Linked DNA regions of Sus scrofa. The protein of the gene in region 4 interacts with the protein of the main gene of each other region in a biochemical or structural test. Links are inferred from orthologs where the notes say so. Each region holds a gene or a part of one and is shown on either strand. Other genes may lie near its edges.

What was found.
Region 1: the proteins of DLG4 (region 4) and PKP4 interact in a test that uses a peptide from one of them, tested with the Homo sapiens proteins (2 studies listed by IntAct, with this or other methods). The link is inferred for Sus scrofa from reciprocal best matches to the Homo sapiens genes DLG4 and PKP4.
Region 2: the proteins of DLG4 (region 4) and GUCY1A2 interact in a test that uses a peptide from one of them, tested with the Homo sapiens proteins (2 studies listed by IntAct, with this or other methods). The link is inferred for Sus scrofa from reciprocal best matches to the Homo sapiens genes DLG4 and GUCY1A2.
Region 3: the proteins of DLG4 (region 4) and TANC1 interact in a test that uses a peptide from one of them, tested with the Homo sapiens proteins (2 studies listed by IntAct, with this or other methods). The link is inferred for Sus scrofa from reciprocal best matches to the Homo sapiens genes DLG4 and TANC1.
Region 5: the proteins of DLG4 (region 4) and KCNA5 form a complex in vitro, tested with the Homo sapiens proteins (2 studies listed by BioGRID and IntAct, with this or other methods). The link is inferred for Sus scrofa from reciprocal best matches to the Homo sapiens genes DLG4 and KCNA5.
Region 6: the proteins of DLG4 (region 4) and FRMPD4 interact in a biophysical measurement, tested with the Homo sapiens proteins (2 studies listed by IntAct, with this or other methods). The link is inferred for Sus scrofa from reciprocal best matches to the Homo sapiens genes DLG4 and FRMPD4.

Annotation. Positions count from the first base shown.
Region 1 is NC_010457.5:65,675,781-65,678,585, forward strand, and holds part of PKP4 (plakophilin-4), read left to right. Parts: intron 1-417; coding exon 418-546; intron 547-2,242; coding exon 2,243-2,316; intron 2,317-2,805. UniProt on the Homo sapiens protein: Plays a role as a regulator of Rho activity during cytokinesis. May play a role in junctional plaques.
Region 2 is NC_010451.4:62,206,081-62,209,580, forward strand, and holds part of GUCY1A2 (guanylate cyclase soluble subunit alpha-2), read left to right. Parts: intron 1-1,508; coding exon 1,509-2,227; intron 2,228-3,500. UniProt on the Homo sapiens protein: Has guanylyl cyclase on binding to the beta-1 subunit. Isoform 2 acts as a negative regulator of guanylyl cyclase activity as it forms non-functional heterodimers with the beta subunits.
Region 3 is NC_010457.5:66,112,168-66,115,667, reverse strand, and holds part of TANC1 (protein TANC1), read right to left. Parts: intron 2,571-3,500; coding exon 1,963-2,570; intron 1-1,962. UniProt on the Homo sapiens protein: May be a scaffold component in the postsynaptic density.
Region 4 is NC_010454.4:52,560,444-52,563,943, reverse strand, and holds part of DLG4 (disks large homolog 4), read left to right. Parts: intron 1-1,884; coding exon 1,885-1,938; intron 1,939-2,063; coding exon of another isoform or gene 2,064-2,073; coding exon 2,074-2,133; intron 2,134-2,349; coding exon 2,350-2,474; intron 2,475-2,572; coding exon 2,573-2,742; intron 2,743-2,852; coding exon 2,853-2,989; intron 2,990-3,140; coding exon 3,141-3,285; intron 3,286-3,500. UniProt on the Homo sapiens protein: Postsynaptic scaffolding protein that plays a critical role in synaptogenesis and synaptic plasticity by providing a platform for the postsynaptic clustering of crucial synaptic proteins.
Region 5 is NC_010447.5:65,439,408-65,443,667, forward strand, and holds the start of KCNA5 (potassium voltage-gated channel subfamily A member 5), read right to left. Parts: upstream 2,801-4,260; 5' UTR 2,529-2,800; coding exon 726-2,528; 3' UTR 1-725. UniProt on the Homo sapiens protein: Voltage-gated potassium channel that mediates transmembrane potassium transport in excitable membranes. Forms tetrameric potassium-selective channels through which potassium ions pass in accordance with their electrochemical gradient.
Region 6 is NC_010461.5:9,433,039-9,436,538, forward strand, and holds part of FRMPD4 (FERM and PDZ domain-containing protein 4), read left to right. Parts: coding exon 1-179; intron 180-541; coding exon 542-1,822; intron 1,823-3,452; coding exon of another isoform or gene 3,453-3,457; coding exon 3,458-3,500. UniProt on the Homo sapiens protein: Positive regulator of dendritic spine morphogenesis and density. Required for the maintenance of excitatory synaptic transmission. Binds phosphatidylinositol 4,5-bisphosphate.

The DNA.
Region 1 (2,805 bases), on a different chromosome or scaffold from region 4:
GAACTATACGTAAAGGATAATAGATGGGTGTAACACAAGCAACTGAACTGAGATCATAAAGTTGCAAATGGAACTTGGGCACGACTGGGAATTACCATCCCTCAGTTTCAAAGGCTTAAGCAGGTCATTGAGACACCCCCCCCCCATCTCAGTGGAGAAATTGCACGATCCCTGCCCAATGTGGTGGCTGACAGTGCTGATCCTTGCAGTGGCCGACCTGCAGGTCACCTTCCAGGAACTGGGGCTGGCTGCCCTTTAATCACAGCACCTCTAAGAGTTGACTGTAGTGCCAGGCACGTGCACTTCTAATTACTTTGTTTTTCCAGAGAGGACTTTCTAGAGACACTGACAGTCTGATTTCTCTTTCTTCTCTCTTTCTCTCTCTCTCCCCCTCCCTCCTCTTGCCTCTCCCTTCAGTCGGCAGCACCTCTTCCTCACCAGCACTGTTAGGAATCAGAGACCCTCGCTCTGAATACGATAGGACCCAGCCACCTATGCAGTATTACAGTAGCCAAGGGGATGCCACTCATAGAGGCCTGTACCCTGGTAAGACGCCAGTTGGGTGTGTGATAGAGTATCTCGAAAAGCCGCGGGTCCCCAGGCACACGGCCAGTGGCCTGGGAGGTAACCTCTGCCTGCAATGAGATGGTCCCCCAGCAGCAAACACTGGTCCAGCCTCTCATCTTCTGCTTCAGGGGCTGTTGCCTTTTTGCTTGTTTTACTTGAAATAAGCTAAGGTGGTGGTCTGGTGACCACAAATAAAAAGAGCACTGTCTCCAAATGAGAAAGCATTTCTGGCTACGCAGCAGCGCTGGCCCTTTGTCCTGCCCCACCCTGCCCGAGCAGTCTTGCGCTGTGTGTTCCGGGGTCCCCGAACCCTGAGCTCTGTGACACCTGGCAGGGCCACATCTCCTGGACCAGCTCATAAATTCAAACCTGCGGATGGAGATCAATTCCATTTACATTCTCATGGGAAAGAGTTTGAATGAATAACAAAATATACAGTCTCCTCAGAGTGACTATTTTTTAAGAATAACAAAAGTGATGTTGTATAGCATTAATATTTTTATGTCCTATTCAGAAAGCCATGCATATTATTTAAAGAATGACAACCTGAAGGGTTACCAAGATTCATATTGTCTCCATTCTCAACTATCTTGCAAATTAGAACCACTTTAGAGGCTTCAAATAAGGCAGTGTGAGCTACCAAAAAAAAAGAAAACTCCTTTCTCAAAAAACCTATTTATTAAAAAGAAATAAATAAAAGCTGGTGGCAATTTAACAACTGCTGGGGGAGCAGTCTCAGTTGTGCTGTTGTCTTTGAAATTGTGATTTCACAGGACTGTTTACTAATCGACTATTGTTACTATGGCAATTAATAGCTCAGAAAATTGCAGATGCTACATTTCAGACATCAAGCTCTTTGCAGAGGAAATGCACAGACCAACCGAAGTGCATTGGTGCTTCAGGTCTGCAGCAGCCTGCTTTATTTTAAAGACCGCCTCCTTAGCATGCGCGCCCTTCTGTATCTTCTTTGCTTGCTTCAATAAACTAATTTGCCTCAAATATGTTTCATTTTCCTCATTAAAAAATAAAATAAAATCTCTGCTAGCCTTAACAATGCTAGAAGGGTAACCAGTGACAGCATCAGGAATCTGCCGTAGACTCCTAAAGACAGCTCTCTGATACCCAGGTTCTTTTTGTTTCAAAACATACTTAAACATGGCCTCCATGCGGCCACCCTGCTTGGAACACACCTGTGCCTGCTCCTTCCAGACCTGGGATTCTGAATCAAAGCTGTTCTAAAGGCCCGGAGCTTGTTCTGCTGTATTTCCCTCCCGCATCTGACCCAGTGCACTAGCTCAGAGCCCTGGAAAAGCCACGTTCCTCGGCTCAGGGGACAAGTCTGCTGTCAAGAGCCACCAGTTCAGTGCTCCCCACAGTGACCAGAGGTTGAGAAGGAACCCTTTGCGGATGAGCTATGCATTAGCATTGCTTTTTGGTAAAACACACAGCCTCTTTTTTTTTTTTTTTTTTTTTTTTTTTTTTGGCATATTCATCAGCCTTTACTGAATAGCCCTGGGGTAAGCAGCAGGCAGGCTTCATCCAGGGAACCCAAGCTGCTGACTGTCCGGGTCTGTGCTGGCAGCGGGGGAATCCAGGGCCTGTCAGGGAGTCCACACCACCTAATGGACCGCAGTAATGAGCACTAGTTTTAATTTCATAAAATATTTTCTTACAGGCTCCAGCAAACCTTCACCAATTTACATCAGTTCCTATTCCTCACCAGCAAGAGAACAAAATAGACGGCTACAGGTGAATTTGCAATGTCATTTTTACAGAAGGCCGATTAGCAGGGATGAACACAGTAAGGGGTCCGCGTGGGTTGACTCACCTGAGCTGGGCCGACACAGCAGGGGCCCAGGAGCTTTCCTGGGGATCTCTGCTCCTCGGAAGCTCATCCATGGTTTATGCAGATCACTTCCACAGTAGCCTCATGTCCTTGAGGAGGACTGAATTGGTACCACCATGCCCCTGACGGGCACCAACTGAGAAGTCTTACACTCCTATTCTTTGCCCAACAGTTTTCTTTTCCCTCTTTTTTTTTTTTTTTCTTTTTTTTTCTTCTTGTTACTCTCTAAGATCTCTTCCATCCTCTGGATGGGGAAAGGTTGGTAAGCACACCTCATTCTCTCATCTCATCCTTCTCTTTTTCACACGTACACCTCTTCCTCCATCTTCATGACTCCCTCCCATCCAAGCCACCATGGTTTGAATACACTTGAGGCCACAGCCAGATTTCTG
Region 2 (3,500 bases), on a different chromosome or scaffold from region 4:
AGTCTTAAAGACAGCCTAGACTGCTTTGCATTCTAATGGGACACTAGCAAAGGGACCTGTTTTTTTTTTTTTTTTTCTGTCCTAACGTTTAGGACTTCCTTATAAGATGGGATAGGTGAGACAATAAAATATGAATATGTAGAATAGATGTTTTGATTTCAGCTGAAGTCAAAGGAGAAGCTCTAGCATGTGTTAACGTAGAAGTTTCTTAGGATACCGACTCAACTCTTTTATCTGTGCTGTATACATTCTTCCTCTTTGGACCAATATGTTTCCTCTGTATTTTTCCTTTAATCATCTTCAAGTGTTGATCTAACTAGATCACAGGTTATTCTGCTTCTAATTATCATATAACATGTTGTATGCATATTTGTTATAAATTATTATAATCCATTGTTATAAAGTAGATTTCCTTTTACTATGGCATTTGGGAAAGAATATGAACTGAGAAAACTGAACAATGGCCTTTAACTCTGTCTGTTCAGATTCTTACTCCACTTTTATTTTCTCTTATTTTTGTAGGTGAAAGAATGAATGCAAATCATTTCACAGTTTTATTTCCTTGTTTTGTTTTTCTCTTCCTGGGGTCTAGCTGACCTTCATGCCTTTCTCTGAGATTACTAATTTAAGTCCTTCTGTTTACATGAGATAACCTGATACCTTTCTCTGCCCATGTACTATAGATTCCCTCTCTGGTTGATATTTCCCACTTAACAAATGAATTTTGGTAAACAAAATAGTAATATTGAATGGACATGATTATGGAGACAATTTTATAGTTGCCTCACAAATTCTTTAAAGATGAGGGAAATCATTAAGGAAGATATATTATTCATGATAATTACAACACATGGAATAGGGTATTGAAAAGAAAAGAGTATAGCTAGCTTAGCATTTAAAAAGTTAGTGCTTCAGGGGTTGAGGGAAAGGAGAAATGCATAGGTAGAGTAGAGCACAAAGAATTTTGAGGGCAGAAAAAATACTCTGTATGATACTATAATAGTGAGCACAGAGACTATAATGGTGAACACATGTTATTGTACATCTGTCAAAACTCAGATGCTCAACACCAAGAATAAACACTATTGGGTGATATTGATATGTCAGTGTAGGTTCATTGGTTGTAACTAACATAACACTGATGCACAATATCGATAGTTATGAGGGGTAGTGTGTGTGGGATACAGGGGGTACTTGGAAAATATCTTTATATTCTGGTCAGTTTTGCTATGAATCTAAAACTGTTCTAAAAATAAAGTTTATTAAAAACAAACAACAACAGCCAAAGTTTATGCTTATTGACATCTCAAAAGCATCATGAACATACTAAATTTTTCTTTCTTTAACTCAAAATATATGAATTAAACTATTTGAGTAATTGAGGTTCTCAAAGGGAAATACCTCTCTTGCTGCACTCACTAGCTACCTCATTTGATAAACATTACAAAAGCTATAAATTCAATTACTTATGCTGTACTTCATTAACTTTTGGTTCCATTTGTCTCTAGGTTTGAAGTTTGAGGAAATTCAAGAAAGATTTGGTGAGGAGTTCTTTAATATATGCTTCGATGAGAATGAAAGAGTTCTTCGAGCTGTAGGTGGCACGTTGCAGGACTTTTTTAATGGCTTTGATGCTTTATTGGAACACATTAGAACTTCTTTTGGAAAACAGGCCACTCTGGAGTCTCCGTCATTCCTATGCAAAGAGCTCCCTGAAGGTACTCTTATGCTTCACTACTTCCACCCTCACCATATTGTGGGATTTGCAATGCTTGGGATGATTAAAGCTGCAGGAAAGAAGATCTATCGGCTGGATGTAGAAGTTGATCAGGTTGCAAATGAGAAACTGTGCTCAGATGGTTCAAACCCAGGCAACTGTAGCTGTCTTTCTTTCCTTATCAAACAATGTGAAAATACTAATATCACGAAGAACCTTCCACAGGGAACCTCCCAAGTTCCTGCAGACCTGAGAATTAGCATCAACACCTTCTGCAGAGCCTTCCCTTTCCACTTGATGTTTGACCCCCACATGTCAGTCCTTCAGCTGGGAGAAGGACTAAGGAAACAGCTCCGATGTGACACTCACAAAGTGCTTATGTTTGAGGACTGCTTCGAGATCGTTTCTCCAAAGATTAATGCCACCTTTGAAAGGGTCCTGCTGCGACTGTCTACTCCGTTTGTGATCAGGACCAAGCCTGAGGCTTCTGGCACTGAGAATAAAGAAAAGGTAAGTGACTTGATGTGGGTGGTGGGAACTAGGAGATTACATAATTGTTTCAGTAGATAACATGCTGGCAGTACTTGTAATTATTTAGGCAAGAGAGCTTAGTGTGCCATTTAGAAAATTACTGGCCCCTGGACATATCAAAAAAGATTTGGATTTATTCCCAGCCATTTGCATAATCCCTTTCATTAATTTATTTCATCATATAAAAAGAAGAAATGTATTTTTACTAGCCATAGTAATTATAAAAATGATAGGACTCACTAACAACCTGATACTGTAAATCCATGAATATTTCCATTGATTTAAGTCAAACTGTGACAGAAATGGTAAGACTGATTGCAACATTGTGGGAAGGATAACCTAAATAAATGTGGGTAAAACACTAGCTATACTTTGAATATGTTATGCTCTAAATTTCATAATCTAGGAACATATGGTTTATATCCTTTTTTTTCTTAAGGTGCAGAATAATGTATTTTCTAAAAGTTAAAAATTAAGTCACTATCTTAAGACTTCTCTTCTGATTAAACTTTAGTATTGATAAAAACACATTTCTTGAGAATATGTTCATTCTTTGAGAGAATACAGAATACACTAGGATTATTCTATCATTCAATTTAGGAAATATTAAAGCTGTTGGTTTTGTTTTACAAAACTACAATATTCGGCTTGGAGAGATTTGGCCTGAGAACTGAAGTTAATGTTTTTGAAAATGTGCCTGAAGTAGAATATATTATTACCAACTGTTAATTGCTTTATACATTTTGTAGATTTGAGAAAAATTAATTCAATTTGAAGTTACTGCTTCAGATTTTTCCTCCTATATTTCATCTGGCTTGAATGTCTATTTAATTTGTATACCATGGTAAGAAATAGACACAATGAAATGATGACTCAAATGCCAAGGCCCCCTGCCAGTTACAATAATGAGGAACTGTGCTCATTGAGAAGATGCAATTATAATTTAAACATGTTAGTGGCAGTTTAAAAATAAAGCAATAGGCAGGATTTTTAGTTAGAATAAAGATAGCAATCCTCTCATCCTGTTTACGTTTCTGCTTATTCACCTGGGTTTGCCAGAATAGGAAATTTGGGAGCCTACAATTGGTCCAAACAAAATTACAGTCAATAAAGTTATGCATGGAATCATAACCAGATGAATAATATTTTTGAACTATTATGTTGCCAAATTCCAAATTTATAATTTCCTAAAATATGGCAAGAAGAAAATCTTGGTTAAAAATTTTGATTCTGTTGATAAATTTGAATTTTT
Region 3 (3,500 bases), on a different chromosome or scaffold from region 4:
GATAAGACATTCAACTGATGCCACCAATTAATTCCCCCCACTAATCTTCTCATGAAGGAGCCATCCTACCCATTTTCCTTCCCCTGTAGGTCTCATTCTATCTCCTGTGGACTCCATGCCTCTGTCTGAACTAATCTGTTTGGAAAAGATGCAAAGGGTTGTTTACTCCAAGAACAGTGACTTCTGTGCTAGGTGAAATATTTTCATTTCTATAACCCTGATAACTCTGAGGTCTGTTTTGCTGAGGAAAAGATAAACATTGTAGAAAAGAATTCTTCTAAATGCGTTTTCTAACAGTTGCTGATCCAGAGGATTAAAAGTATGATGCTTGCCTGTTTCTCAAATCAATGATAAATAAACCATGTTAGGGACAAGGAAATCGGGGCATATGAAAACCAAGAGATTGCTTTTTATCCTCCAGGGGAAGACATGATATTTAAGCCCACACTGCGTGAGTGTCCATCTAACATGTTGTAAGGGTCTAGAGCACATACGCCATGCTCCTTTGCAGACACTACCTCCCAGAACTCAAGTCTGATTTTCCCTCTCAGGTGAGAGCCTCCTGTGTTCCCATGGAAACTACTCTCTATTACCTTCCAGTGCTCCAGGCACTCCTGGATGCCATCCATGGGCTGGTCCCAGAGTTCAACCTGGCCCATATCACCTCCACGTCATCTATAGCATCTCCTCTCCCACTGCCTTCAGGCCAAGCCAGCCATCTACCTCATGTCAGCAAGGCTGGTCTCTACCTCACTGCCTTCCTAGAAAACACCTGCGTTTTCCTAGAAAATCATCTGATTTGGCCAAATAAGTCACAGTACACATTTCACCTAGATATTACTGTCTGGCTAAATAACCTGGAGTTACAGGTTTTTTCCCCAAAGCAGGTTCAAAAGACGATAAACTTTTAGCTCAGTGTCGCCTAGGAAAACACCCGACCACGACCTGAAAGAGCAATTAAACCCAGGGGGTCGGCATTAAGTCAATATCCATGGGAGGAAGGGATTATGGGGCTCACAAGCGCTTATTCATTTCATCTCTAGGCCCCAGCATCTGATCAAATGCCCAGTCCAGACAAAAGGGAAGAAATGAGTAGCTTGTCAGACCTGCTATAAAAGGTAAGGAGCCATTCTGACTCACAGAAGGCAGAAATCATTCAAGACAGCAAGGATGCTGGCCAAGGTCAGGGCCAGGCACAGGTCTTGGACATGAACACACCCTTTTCTGAGAGCATCAGCATCTCAAATTCCCTGTCTCTCATCCTGACTAGCACCACACCACAGGGTGGGCAGGCTTCCCACCTGCCCCCTCATCAGGCAGTGAGGGAACCTGAACTCTGGCCCAGCCTTGCGGCAAAGTCTCTTGAAACTTTTGACTGTCTGGATACAGCTGCCCCTTCGCCATTTCATAAATGGGGCATCCTCCAGACCCCCAAATCCCAGTCTGTTACACTGTGCAGAACACAAATACGAAATGAGGTGGCCAGATGTGATCACTGTGTCTGAGGGCCAGAGGGGAGCACATCAGATACCTGGGACAAGATGCCACAAGCTCAAGAGCAGGCAAGGAGTGGCAGTGCTGAGGATGCAGGACAGTCCACAGATCCCCAGGGAAGAAGTGGGCTGGGAACGGGCTCTAGAGGAGCTGGCTGGTCCCTGCAGCAGCTATCACACATTCACACAGGTGACCCCTGTGCCAGGGCACAAGGTCTAGAAGAGGACGCCAAAGACACCCAGGTACTGCCCAGTTTCTCTTTTATCCAAATGTACTGAGGAGTCCTAAAAGTCCAGACATTAAGGAAGGGAGCTTTGGTTTAGTGGGAGGGAGACTTTTCCATCACCCCTCCTGAATTATTCATGCTGTGTTGCCCTTCTGTGAAATAGCACGGATTGCGTTTGAAATCCCTTTCCTGAGCGCATATCAGACTCCCTGCACAGAGCTGCTAGAAGAGGCCTGTCATACCTGGGCTCACACAGGAAGGCTGTGTTTTCGCCATCTGCTCTCCAAACAAGCCACTCCCTGAAGGATGGGTGACAGAACATGCGAGTTTTGTCTCGCCTCTTGATGAGGAAACAGGAGAGGGCATCCATCCTCTGCTGGAAGTCCTCCCAGCCCTGCTCCCCTTGGATGTGGCCGGCATTAATTGCCTGGAAGATCTGCTCATCTGTCATGGGGTGGAGGGACGCGAGGGCCACGTTCAAAATCGGAAGCGCTCTCTCAAAGGCGGACTGGGTCATGAACTTCATGTTGCATTGAAGCAGGTAGAGTTCAGACAGTGACACAGGCACCACCTTGTAGCTGGCGCTCTTGATGACCAGGTGCCCCCTCTGGAAGAGGTCCAAGGTGAGCTTGAGGTACAGGTAGGAGCCCAGGCTCCGCAGCACCAGGTGGCTGCTTACTTTCCCAATGAGGGCAGCATCGGCCTTGCCGTTCAGGGAGATGTTGCTGAGGATGTCCTGGCTGCTGTGTACCCTGTGCTGCACGTAGGCGTGCAGGTCGCTGTGGATGTCCTTGTTGTCTGGAAAGTCATCTAAGGACAGCTTGACGAATGGCAGCTCACTGACAATTTCCTGCAGAAGAACGAGACCCACAGTGTCACTCCACAGAGGCTTCTTTTATGTCAGCTGCATTGCAAACCAGATCGACTAGTTCTCTTTCAAGGAGGATTTTCATGGATTACAGGGGCTCATTGTTTTGTATTAAAACACGTAATAGGATAAATGGAAGATAAAAAGCTTACGTGAAAGCAATGCCTGATGTAAGATCAAATCAGAAAAGGCTTTCCCGAGGCCCTTATCCAGGACACAGAGCCAAGCGAAATGGCAGAGCCTCGAGCACTCGGCGGCGACCTGGCTGCACCAGCAAAGGGGCATCGAGACCCCCAGGTGACCTGATATCCATAATCCTCACACTGTGTAACTGGTTACATAATAAGGACAGACACAATGCAACACTGTACATCTAAGCCCATGGCCAGACACTGAGATCAGATACCCACTGGCTACATAACCAAACCAGGATATCCGAAATTGCCCCCAGCCTGTACTCTGGTGACAGGCTGTGGTAAACAAAGCTGCTGGACTTCCATATAGCCCAACTTTTTTATTTGCTGGTTTTTAGTAAATATTTATTTATTTTTGTCTTTTTAGGGCCACACCCGTGGCATATGGAAGTTCCTAGGCTTGGGGGTTGAATCAGAGCTGCAGCTGCCTACACCACAGCCACAGCAATGACAAATCTGAGCTGAGTCTGTGACCTACACCACAGCTCATGGCAACATCAGATCCTTCACCCACTGAATGAGGCCAGGGATCGAACTCGCATCCTCATGGATACTAGTTGGGTTCATGACTGCTGAGCCACAATGGGAACTCCCTTAGTAAACTTTTAAATTGAAATACGACATACAGAGATGCACAAATTCTAACTGCATGGTGTCATTCATTTTCACAAAGTCACCACATATACCTGTGGGACCAGGAGGTAGACACAGAACCATA
Region 4 (3,500 bases):
AGTGGGTTGAAGAAGTGTGATTTGGGCACACAGAATCTTGAGGGTTTGAGGATGAGGTCAGGGAGCCAGAAATTAGGATGGAGGCCAAGAGCAGGAGACTGATAAAGGAAGGGGCCGGAGGGGAGGGTGAGGACAGGGAAGGCCATGGGGAATGGAGGCTGGGGTTGGAAGATGGAAATTGAAAGGTGGGGCAGAGCTGTAGATGGAGGATATCACACAGGGCAGGGGCAGGGAGGGGGAGGGGACACGGCTGGAAGTAGTTGCGGATGAAGGACGCGGCCTGGGGAAGGAAGTTCTAGGATCAGGATGGGGATGGCGACTGGGGATAGGCTGTGGGGTAGAGGATGGGCCTGAGGATGAGATTTTGGCAGTCAGCGGCTATTGGGCTATTGGCTGGACGGTAGCATCTGCTGGGATGTGAAGGGTCGGAGGATGGTGGTGATAGATGTGTGCGTATGAAATCTGTTAAAGGGTTTGAAAGTGCGTAGTATCGAGAAGTAGTAGGAGAGAGGAGGGACCCCTTTGGAAGGAGAGATCGAGGAGTCGGGGAATCCGTGACGAGTGCCTCGCGCTTGGTAGGCTCCAAATACATGTTTGCTTAAGGAGGAGATAGGTTGGGGACCCCGGAAGGCGGCTTTTGGCCGCCTTCCTCCATTGCCATGGAAACGTGGTTTCGGTTGCCCTGGCAATGGGGGAAGCCCCTAGGACCAGCCTAGAGCTGGCCCCGCCCTGAAGTCTATAGAGACCTTGCTGCGCCGAGGCGACTGACGTCAGGGACCTGGACACTCCCCGCTTTAACCCTTTCCCGGATGAGGTGGGGGTGGGGAGAGAGATGAGAGGATAAGACCCGGATGTCTTTCACCACTCCCCTTTTTCTGACGTCCTTTGCACTGCGTAGGGTGTGGGGCGTAGGGGAGGGAGGAAGGAGGTTACTCAGAATGTGCTGCGCCCACAGACCCCTGAACGGGGACTTCTTTCTGCCTGGCTAACGGGGGGCGGGCCCCGGGGCAGGAGAGGCGGAGCTAGCGGATCCCTTCGGCCTTTGGGAGTCTGGTTGCCCCAGGCCACGCCCCATCTCCCCCTCCCGTTGTCCTGACGACAGGGCCTCCAGGAGGTGGGTCTCCCTAGGCCTTGGCTGGGCTTAGATACCGTTGCTAGGCAACACGGTCCCTAGAGGAAGGCGTGGATTGAATGGTGGGTGGGCGAGGGAGAGGGTGGGGCCCGCATCTGGGGGATCCCCGGATTCCTGGGGCCCAGGGTTTGGGGCAAATGTGTGTGAAAATGAGGGGCAAATCTGAGGTAGGGTTATGAAGGTATCTGAGTGTATGTGGGCAGATAGGGACAGGGATGGGGGCAGGAAGGGAGGGCGGACCCAGTGGACCTAAGTCCTGGGGGGTGTGTGTAGCGCATAAGGCATATAACACTCTCTGGTGTTACATCCGGTGAGAAGATTCTTCTCCCCCCCACCCCCCGTCGGTCCCCCCGCCCTGACTCTTCACCATCTGCTGCTCCCCCATCTGGCTGTCTCTCCCTTCCTGCTTCTCAGACACCTCCTTCCACATGCAGGGGACCTGGGCTGGGCAGAGTTGGGTCCAGCACGTGTGCACGTGTGTGTATGTCACGTGGAGTGAGGCCGAGTCCTTCAGGGAGTCAAGGGTAGCAGAGCAGGCTAGATTAAGTGGGTAGGCATTCTCCCGGGCACAGCAGGTTAAGGATCTGATGTTGTCACTGTAGCAGCTTGAGTGGCTGCTGTGGCAGGAGTTCGATCCCTGGCCCGGGAACTTCCTCATGTCCTGGCCAAAAAAACTCCCAAACAAACCAGGCTGAGAGGGTAGCTGCGCTGGTGGGCCTCTTGCTTACCGGGTCTCCTTTTTTTCCTCACAGGCCAATTCTCCCCCAGTGATTGTCAACACAGATACCCTAGAAGCCCCGGGATATGTGAGTTGTTTAGATTTTGGGGCCATTCCGTAGGGAGGAGGGAGAGAGGGAGGGCCCGGGCCGCAGGGGCAGGGGTGGGCCAGGTTCCCAGGGAGGAAGTCTGTCTCACTGCTCTTGTGTTTCTGGCCGGTGCTGGAGTTGCAGGTGAACGGGACGGAGGGGGAAATGGAATACGAGGAGATCACATTGGAAAGGGTGAGCGGGCTCCTCCCCCTGAGGCCCTCTCCCCTCGCTCCCTGCCTGTGCTTCCCTGGGCCTGTGTTTTCTAGGTGGCGAGCCTCTCAACCCTGTCCCTTCCTGCTCGGCTCACAGCTTCCTGCCCCCCCCCCCCCCCCCCCCCCGCCTCCGCCACTCGCCCTGGCTGGAGTGGGCTGTGCAGGAAGCTGACCCTCTTCCCCTTCTTCTGCCCAGGGTAACTCAGGTCTGGGCTTCAGCATCGCAGGTGGCACGGATAACCCACACATCGGTGACGACCCATCCATTTTCATCACCAAGATCATTCCCGGTGGGGCTGCGGCCCAGGATGGCCGCCTCAGGTGGGCGGAGGAGACAGGGGTTAGGATGCTGGATCCCCTGACCGGGAGGGCCAGGGCGGCAGGAAGCTCCTGGCTCAGGCCCGCCTTGCTGTCTTCAGGGTCAACGACAGCATCTTGTTTGTAAATGAAGTGGATGTGCGGGAGGTGACCCACTCAGCTGCGGTGGAGGCCCTCAAAGAGGCGGGCTCCATTGTCCGCCTCTATGTCATGCGCCGGAAGCCCCCCGCCGAGAAGCTCATGGAGATCAAGCTCATCAAGGGGCCTAAAGGTAGTAACTTGTTGTGCCTCCACCCCCACCCCCCCATGCCAACCGTCCCCAGCCCCAAGACCTGCTCTCCAGGTACCTGGGCACCCACCTCTGCCCTCCGCTCCATCCAGGACTTGGCTTCAGCATCGCAGGCGGTGTAGGGAACCAGCACATCCCTGGAGATAATAGCATCTATGTAACCAAGATTATCGAAGGGGGTGCCGCCCACAAGGATGGGAGGTTGCAGATTGGAGACAAGATCCTGGCGGTGAGGACCCCCCATCGCTCTTCCAGCCCACACCCGGGTCCTGTGTGCTGGGCCCTGCACAGGGCCCGGGCTCCCTTTGCGGCTCAGCGGCAGGGCATCTGCCTTGAGGCGATTTCTGGTTCTGTCTGAGCTCTGCTTCCCTTGACCCCAGGTCAACAGCGTGGGGCTGGAGGACGTCATGCATGAGGATGCCGTGGCAGCCCTGAAGAACACGTATGATGTTGTCTACCTGAAGGTGGCCAAGCCCAGCAGTGCCTACCTGAGTGACAGCTATGCTCCCCCAGACATCACAAGCTGTGAGAGCCCTCCAAACCCCAGAGCTCCCCGTGCCCGGCCCGGTTCCCCCCGTGACATCGCTGGCGACCGTTCCTCTTCAGATACGTCCCACGAGCCAGCTACAACCTCTGTCACTTCCTGTGGCAGGAGAATAGATGGAAAATTGGTCACCTTAGCGGAACTAGAAAAGATTGTCGATAGGTTTCTTCCCCAGAGAAGGCGCAAGGCCCAGGTG
Region 5 (4,260 bases), on a different chromosome or scaffold from region 4:
ATGCTTTTTGAAGAAAGTTACAAGAACTGGTTAAGGCGCACAGAAAAAGTTAGACTTGCTTTCTTCCAGAGCATTCTCTGCCCTAGACACAAAGCACCGAAATCACAACTCAGAAAAGAGAGAGGCTTGCAGATAACAGGAACCAGAACAGCCAGACCAGGGTCTCGGACTGTAATAGAAATATCACAGGAGAATGTTGCCATAACCTCCTCTTTCATAAATACAATGTATGTCTTGAAAATATATCCAAAATCTCTCCATCTGAACTACAGTACAAAAATCCACTCGCCAGCCATAAAAATAATATTTTCTCATGTACACAAATATAATTATATGTAAAGCAAATTTGGAACACAGGGATGGGGGGAGATTACCAATTCTCTGGGGATTGGGCTATTTAAAGCCATTTTTGTTTGGGTTATCCCTCTGCTGGGTCTAGGAAACTGGCTACAAATACATCCATCTCACAGTGCTCACCATTTCAACAGCTCCTGCGTCATGGAATGTGGTACTTTTTAAAAATAGGTGACCCTGGGTGTCATGGAAAGAAGAGGAAAGAAAAACTAGGGGATCAAGGAGACGCAGGAGGGGAGCAGTGAAAGAAGAAGGGGCGGACCTAGGTTACAGGGTGGGCTAGAAATACTCTTCGCCATGAAGTAGATCCCCAAGGTCAGGAGGCCCCCCGCTGTCCCCAGCTCTCTGCCAACTATCCACCTGCATCCCCCTTACAAATCTGTTTCCCGGCTGCTATCCAGGCAGAGGGCATACAGAGATCTCCGCAAGTCCACATTGCTCTTGGCCTTGAGGTTACACTTCTCTAAGGGGCAACTGCCCCTCCGGGATCCATCTGCATTATCCAGGGCCCCCACAGCCTTGCAGAGGGACCCCTTGCTCCAGCTGGCCTTCCGCTGGCCACCGCTGGCCAGTCCTGTCCCCTGGCTCTGGCTGCCCTGCTCTTCCTTAAGGGCTGCCTGCTCCTCGTGGTCCGTCTCCCTGTGGTAGAAGTAGTTGAAGTTGGAGACAATGACGGGTACAGGCAGGGCGATGGTGAGGACCCCAGCGATGGCACACAGAGAGCCCACGATCTTGCCCCCCACGGTGACGGGCCTCATGTCCCCATAGCCCACCGTGGTCATGGTAACCACGGCCCACCAGAAGCCATCCGGGATGCTGGAGAAGTGGGTCTCTTGGTTGTCGGCCTCGGCGAAGTAGACGGCGCTGGAGAAGAGGATGACGCCGATGAAGAGGAAGAAGATGAGCAGGCCCAGCTCCCGCATGGAGGCCTGCAGGGTCTTGCCCAGGATCTGCAGCCCCTTGGAGTGGCGGGAGAGCTTGAAGATGCGGAACACGCGGACCAGGCGGATCACTCGGAGGATGGCCAGCGACATGGCCTGCTGCCCGTTCTGGCCGCCCCCTCCCCCACCCCCTGGCTGCTGTTCCACCAGCTCGGTGCCCAGGGTGATGAAGTAGGGGAAGATGGCCACCACGTCGATGATGTTCATGATGTTCCGGGAAAACTCAGCCTTGCTGGGACAGGCGAAGAAGCGCACCAGAAGCTCGAAGGTGAACCAGACGACACACGTGGTCTCCACGATGAAGAAGGGGTCCGCCAGGGTCCTGGGCAGGAGAGGCGCCACTGTGGGACCTGAGGGAGGCGGCGCCGCCGCTGCCCCGCTGCCATTGGCCCCTGGGGCGGGTCCAGGGGGCTGGTGGTGCACCGGGGGATGGCGCAGCAGCTCGCGTTCATCCCTGAACTCAGGCAGGGTCTCCAAGCAGAAGGTGATGATGGAGATGAGGATGACAAGGACTGAGACGATGGCGATGGCCCTCGCGGAGCCCGAGCTCTCCGGGTACTCGAAGATCAGCCACACCTGGCGCTGGAACTCGTTGCGGGGCAGGGGCTTCTCCTCCTCCTTGATGAAGCCCTCGTCCTCCCGGAAGCGCTCCATGGCCTCGTCCCCCAGCTGGTAGAAGCGGATCTCATCCGCGAACACGTCCAGGGAGACGTTGACCGGCCTCCGCAGCCGGCCCCCGGACTGGTAGTAGTAGAGGATGCCATCGAAGCTGGGCCGGTTGCGGTCGAAGAAGTACTCGTTCCTCAGGGGGTCGAAGTAGCGCAGGCGCTTGGCGGGGTCCCCCAGGAGCGTGTTGGGGAATTGCGCCAGGGTGCCTAGCTGCGTCTCAAAGCGCAGCCCCGAGATATTGATGAGGACGCGCTGGTGATGGAGGGAGCCCGCGCCCAGCACCTGGTCCTCCGCCACGCCCAGGGCGGGGTCGCCATCTCCCTCCTCTTCCTCCGGAGGCAGCCACCTCGACTGCGGCAGCTCCTGGGGCGGCGGCGGCACCGGCCGGCCTCCCGGATCCGCGCGCCTCTCTGCTCCGCGGCCCCTTGGCTCCCGCTCCTTGGGTCCATCTCCGAGCGCAGCCGTCGGGGGGCAGCGGAGCTCTCCCCCTGCGGTGCCGGCCTCCCCTCCTTCCTTGACGATCATGGCACCGCCATTCTCCAGGGGCACCAGGGCGATCTCCATGGTCCGGGAGCGGGGGGCATGCTGCGCCCCTGCGGACTGACTCCCGCGCCCCCCTCACACCCTGCTGGGCGACCCGCGCCTGACGCCTCTTCTGCTGGCCGCCGGCACGGCTGTGGGGCGGGCTGGAGTGGCTGGCCGGGTCCCCTCGCTCGGTCCTGACGTCAAGAAGCCGCTGCCCTGCCCTCTGCCTCTCTGGGTTCTGGCAGCCCGTTACCAAGCAGCCAAAAGCCGCCTTCCAGCAGATGCAACCTCCAGCCGCCCGGCGCGGCCTCCGCCCCGCGCGGCTCCCCGCCCCCTGTCGTCCTCTCCTTCCCCCGCCTCCCCTCCGGGCTCAGAGGCAGCGGGAGTCTCCCCGGAGGGCGCAGCTGGGGCCCGAGCGAGGAGGGAGGGGCTGAGCGGGGCTCCGCCGGCGGTGGGAGGAAGGAAGGGAGGGAGAGAGGGAGTGGGGAGGATGGAGGAACAGGTTGTACCGAGAGCGCTGAAACTCCAAGGGCAACCAGATGAGAATAGCTCTGGATTTCAGTTCACCTGGGAAGCCCGCTGAGCGCCGATGGGCTCAGGGGGAAATGAATTGCCCTTGGAGGGATGATTTTGAGATGAGAGGGAGTATGAGAGAAGGCAGTGCTTTTTACGTTTCTCCCTTGGAGGAATAAAGGGTCTCTCTTCTTTGGGCAGAATTACAAACAGGAGGGGGCAGGATAGTTATGGACCTTGGGAAAAAAAAATGTATATATATATGTCTGTATCTCCAGATTGAAGGTGAAGCATCTCTTTTCCCATCTCCCTGCATACATTGGTACCAAAAGGTAACTGAGGGAAAATTTAGTGTGTCCTGCCGCTTAGTAAAGCCCCCATTCCCAGTGCAGACAGCGGTGGTCAGAGGGCAGATGCCACCCAGCAGCCCTAGGCAGCCAGCTGGGTCTGGGAGATTCGCTGCCCTGACGCTCACAACCTCGCTGCTCTCCCCACAAAGCCATTAGCAGAAACCATGAGCAGGGAAGGGGAGGAGGGAGAGAGAGAAGCTGGTGAGAGTGGTTTCTGCCTGGTGAAGCTGGGAGCCGGAACCAAAAGCACATCTGTGTAGGGAGTTGGGGTGGGGGCTCTTCAGGAGAGGGAGCCCCGGAGCTTGTGGAGTGCCCGGGGCTGGAGAATTCTCAGCAGTAGAATAACAATCCATACATACTTGGCTCTTTTGTTGTGTCAGGTCCATTTTCAGCACTTTACAAATATTGACTGGCCTATTCCCTTGGCAACCCATTTTCTCAGCAATGTTATTATCTCCACTTTTTAGAGACAAGGAAAATGAGACACAGAGAGATGGACTAACTTGCCTAAAGTCACACAGTTAGAACACGGTAAAAGCTGGGATTTAAACCCAAGCAAGCAGAGTTCAGGACCCTGTTCCTGTCCCTGTGCTCCTCTCTAGAAATGAGTCACCCCCTTTCAGATATAAGGGTAAAAGAGTTCCTGCTCCCCAACATCTGGGCTGACAGTTTTCGTTCCTCCTGCGGGAGGCAGGAGGGTGGCTAAGAGGACAGCTGAGTGCTTCTGGGTTAGAGAGCCAGGCTATCCGGCTCGCCCTAGCCCTGCTGGGTTTTAGCGAGGAGCATCCGTCCAGAGAGAAATATGCTTCAAGGCAAGTCTGGCCCATCCTGGCACAGCTTCCAGACGTGTTTTTGGTTTTACATTACCAGCAAGTCTCTGTCTTCGAATATCTGTTTGATTGTCTATT
Region 6 (3,500 bases), on a different chromosome or scaffold from region 4:
GGACAAGGAGCCAGGCAGCACTCTGCAAAGCGACGAGATCCCCGTGTCCCTCATTGACGCTGTGCCCACCAGCGCCGAGGGGAAGTGTGAGAAGGGCCTGGAGGACAGCGTCGTTTCCACGCTGGATGCGCTCGAGGCTCTGTCCGTGTCCGAAGAACAGCAGACCAGTGACAATTCAGGTTCTTTCACGATTGTTACGTTTATTCACTGATAGCCAAATCATTTCATCCTTTCAAGCCATCTGCCCTTGGAGTCCTGTTATGTCCTTCATTTCACGCATGTCCCATTTCCTAAATGTGCTGAAAATACCACCATGGGTTTTTTGTGTATATGGTTTCCTTTGTTGTTATTTAAAAAAAAAAAAAAAGTGGCCCTTTCTGTTTCCCCTGTCTCTGGAACAGCTGTGCAATAAACTCAGAGTCCTTACAGCAAAGGGAAAAACTTGGTATTTGTCGTAATAGTAACGAGTCCCATTTGCTTACATGTCTCCTAGTGCCTGTGACGCATCCATTAACCGCTTCTTGTTTCTCACGGCATGCAGGTGTAGCCATCCTGCGGGCTTATAGTCCCGAGTCCTCGTCAGACTCGGGCAATGAGACTAACTCTTCTGAAATGACTGAGAGTTCCGAACTGGCCACAGCACAGAAGCAGTCAGAAAACCTCTCCCGCATGTTCTTGGCCACTCACGAAGGCTACCACCCCCTCGCAGAAGAGCAGACAGAATTCCCCACTTCCAAAACCCCAGCCGGAGGCTTGCCCCCAAAGGCCTCCCACGCTCTGGCCGCCCGTCCCGTGACTGACCTTCCACCCAAAGTTGTGCCTTCCAAGCAGATACTTCACTCGGACCACATGGAGATGGAGCCTGAAACCATGGAGACCAAGTCCGTCACTGACTATTTTGGCAAGCTGCACATCGGCTCAATGGCATACTCCTGCACCAGCAAAAGGAAAAGCCAGCCGGCTGACGGGGAGGGGAAAGCAGCCCTTAATGGGAGCATGCCGGGGAAAAAACAGCAGGGGACCAAAGCACCCGAGGCGGAGGAGGGCCCCAAAGGTCAGTTCGGTCCTGTGTCTTCAAGGGACAGTCAACACCTCAGCACTTTTAACCTGGAGAGAACTGCCTTCCGCAAGGACAGCCAAAGATGGTACGTGGCCACCGAGGCTGAAAAAAGTGGCTTGGAAGCAGCCACAGGGATAACCTTTCCAAGAGCTTCGGGTGTGGGGACAAGGGAGGCCGAAGGGAAGGACGACGGGACTCCCGATGGAGAAGCCATTGAGGTTTCAGGACTTGGCCAACGGGACCACTTCTTAACTGATGTGACCTGCGTGTCTTCCGCTGAAGACTTAGACAACCCGGAGGATGCTGACCCGGCGGCCTGTGACCATCCTTCCAAGCTCCCCGAAGCAGAAGAAGGCGTTGGGCGCCTCTGTGACTACCACTTGGCCAAGCGGATGTCGTCCTTGCAAAGCGAGGGCCACTTTTCCCTGCAGAGCTCTCAGGGCTCTTCAGTGGATGCGGGCTGTGGCACGGGCAGCAGCAGCAGCACCTGTGCCACACCCATGGAGTCCCCACTCTGCCCCTCCATGGGGAAGCACCGGATTCCTGAGACTTCGGGGAAAGGCGTGAGTTACATTCCTCCAGAGGAGAGAGCCGCAGGGCTTCCCGGCCACGGAGCCACCTTTAAGGAGTTACACCCCCAGACGGAAGGGATGTGTCCGCGGATGACAGTGCCTGCTCTGCACACAGCCATTAATGCCGAACCTCTGTTTGGCACTTTGAGAGACGGATGTCATCGACTCCCCAAGATTAAGGAAACCACAGGTACAGCAGTGATGGATTTAGTGCTTTGTGTTACACACCAGAAGCACATAAACCAAAATTACAACAAACCTAAAAATACCAAGTCCAGAAGAAAAGTCAAAGTTAGGATTTTTTTAAAAGGCTGCAGAACTGTAGCCAGGTGAAGTAGCAACCATTGATTCCCCCAGTGTTGACATAAATGCTGAAGTTTCCAGACCAGGGCAGGAGTGGAAATGGCATTTGTTCTTTAGACTCCTGCTCTGTCTTGCTTTTCGAGTTTGATGGCGGAATTTTTTTTTCCCTAAGTGATGAATATAGGCTTTGAGCAGTACGCAGTGTGACTTTCAGTTGCGAGATAGTATTTATTGCCTAGAGTCGCAAAAGTTCTGATTTCCATCTCAAGACATCAAATCTCTGATTTTGCCATTTCGCTTTTGAGAGACAAGGAGGGAGAGTGCACCAGAGGATCTGGGAGATTGGAGGACTTGGGGAAGATCATTTACCTTTCAGCAGTATTTACAGACTCCTCCACACTCTGTAAGGTTCTCCCAGATGAGCAAACTTGAGGTGTCTGGCATATCCAGTGTCAGGAAGGTTTGGGGGGTTGGCATGCTGAGCTGCCTTATTTTCCCCCAAATAATAAAATAGACACATGGGTAGAAACACAGGCACAGCTACCTTCTGTACCTACCTTCACCATTCTTCCACCCCCTGGGTACCTGTCTCCCTGATCCACGTGGCCAGCCATCCTGTGGGAAAAGCAGACCTTCTTTCACACTTTTCAATTTCAAATGGTATCCTCTGTAGGGTCTTTTCCATATAGGTCCGCAGATGGTGGTGGGACCTTATATTGGTTAATTTCCATTCCTGCCCTTTTTTAAGATTATCTCTTTTCTCAAGACTCACCCCTGGCTTCACCTGCCTTGGGAAACCCGTCTATGAATGTTACTTAACTCATCACCCAACTAAGCATATTCACCTCTAAACTAACTGAAGTGCGCTGTTTAATCTTTTGCAGTTTACAAAGAGCGTTCATCTAACTTACCTCTTGCTTCTCACAAAAGTTCTGTGAGATGGAGATTATTTTCTTCACACGCCAACTTTTTTGGGACTTGCCAAGTGTCTCAATTTCAAACCCTATACTAGGCAAACCTCATGGGGTCTTTTAAAAAGGTTACTATATTTAATTTGCATTAATTATACGAGGCCGCTTCTTTTTAGAAAGGTAACTGATGCCAGGATTAACCTAACTTCTTGAAATGAAACTTAAATATCATAAATATGTTTGAATATTTATATATGTGAGATGTATGTTTTCTAATTATGTGTCTAAGCTTTAACAGACAAGTATTAGGAACAAGGCAATTTGTGAAATTCCACTGTCTCCCTTAAAATATTTGCAGTTTCCAAACAGTGCCAAGTGAGTCAGTAGTTTAAGAAGCAACCAATTCTGGTGTTTCTTAAAATGTATTAAAGTCAAACTCTATTCTAAGATTTCAGGAGGCAGTCTTTGGAGAGCAGGTTGACCCTGACAGATGGCAGCCCTTCTAGAATACTTCCTTAGGAGATGACAGATATGATATAGAGATTTAGTAAAAATGACCACCTACGAGATGCTTAATGGTTCTCTCTGTTTTTCTGCTACCCCTAGTGTAGCTTTGACAGAGCCTGGGAAGGAGAGACGAGGAGGCATGCCTTC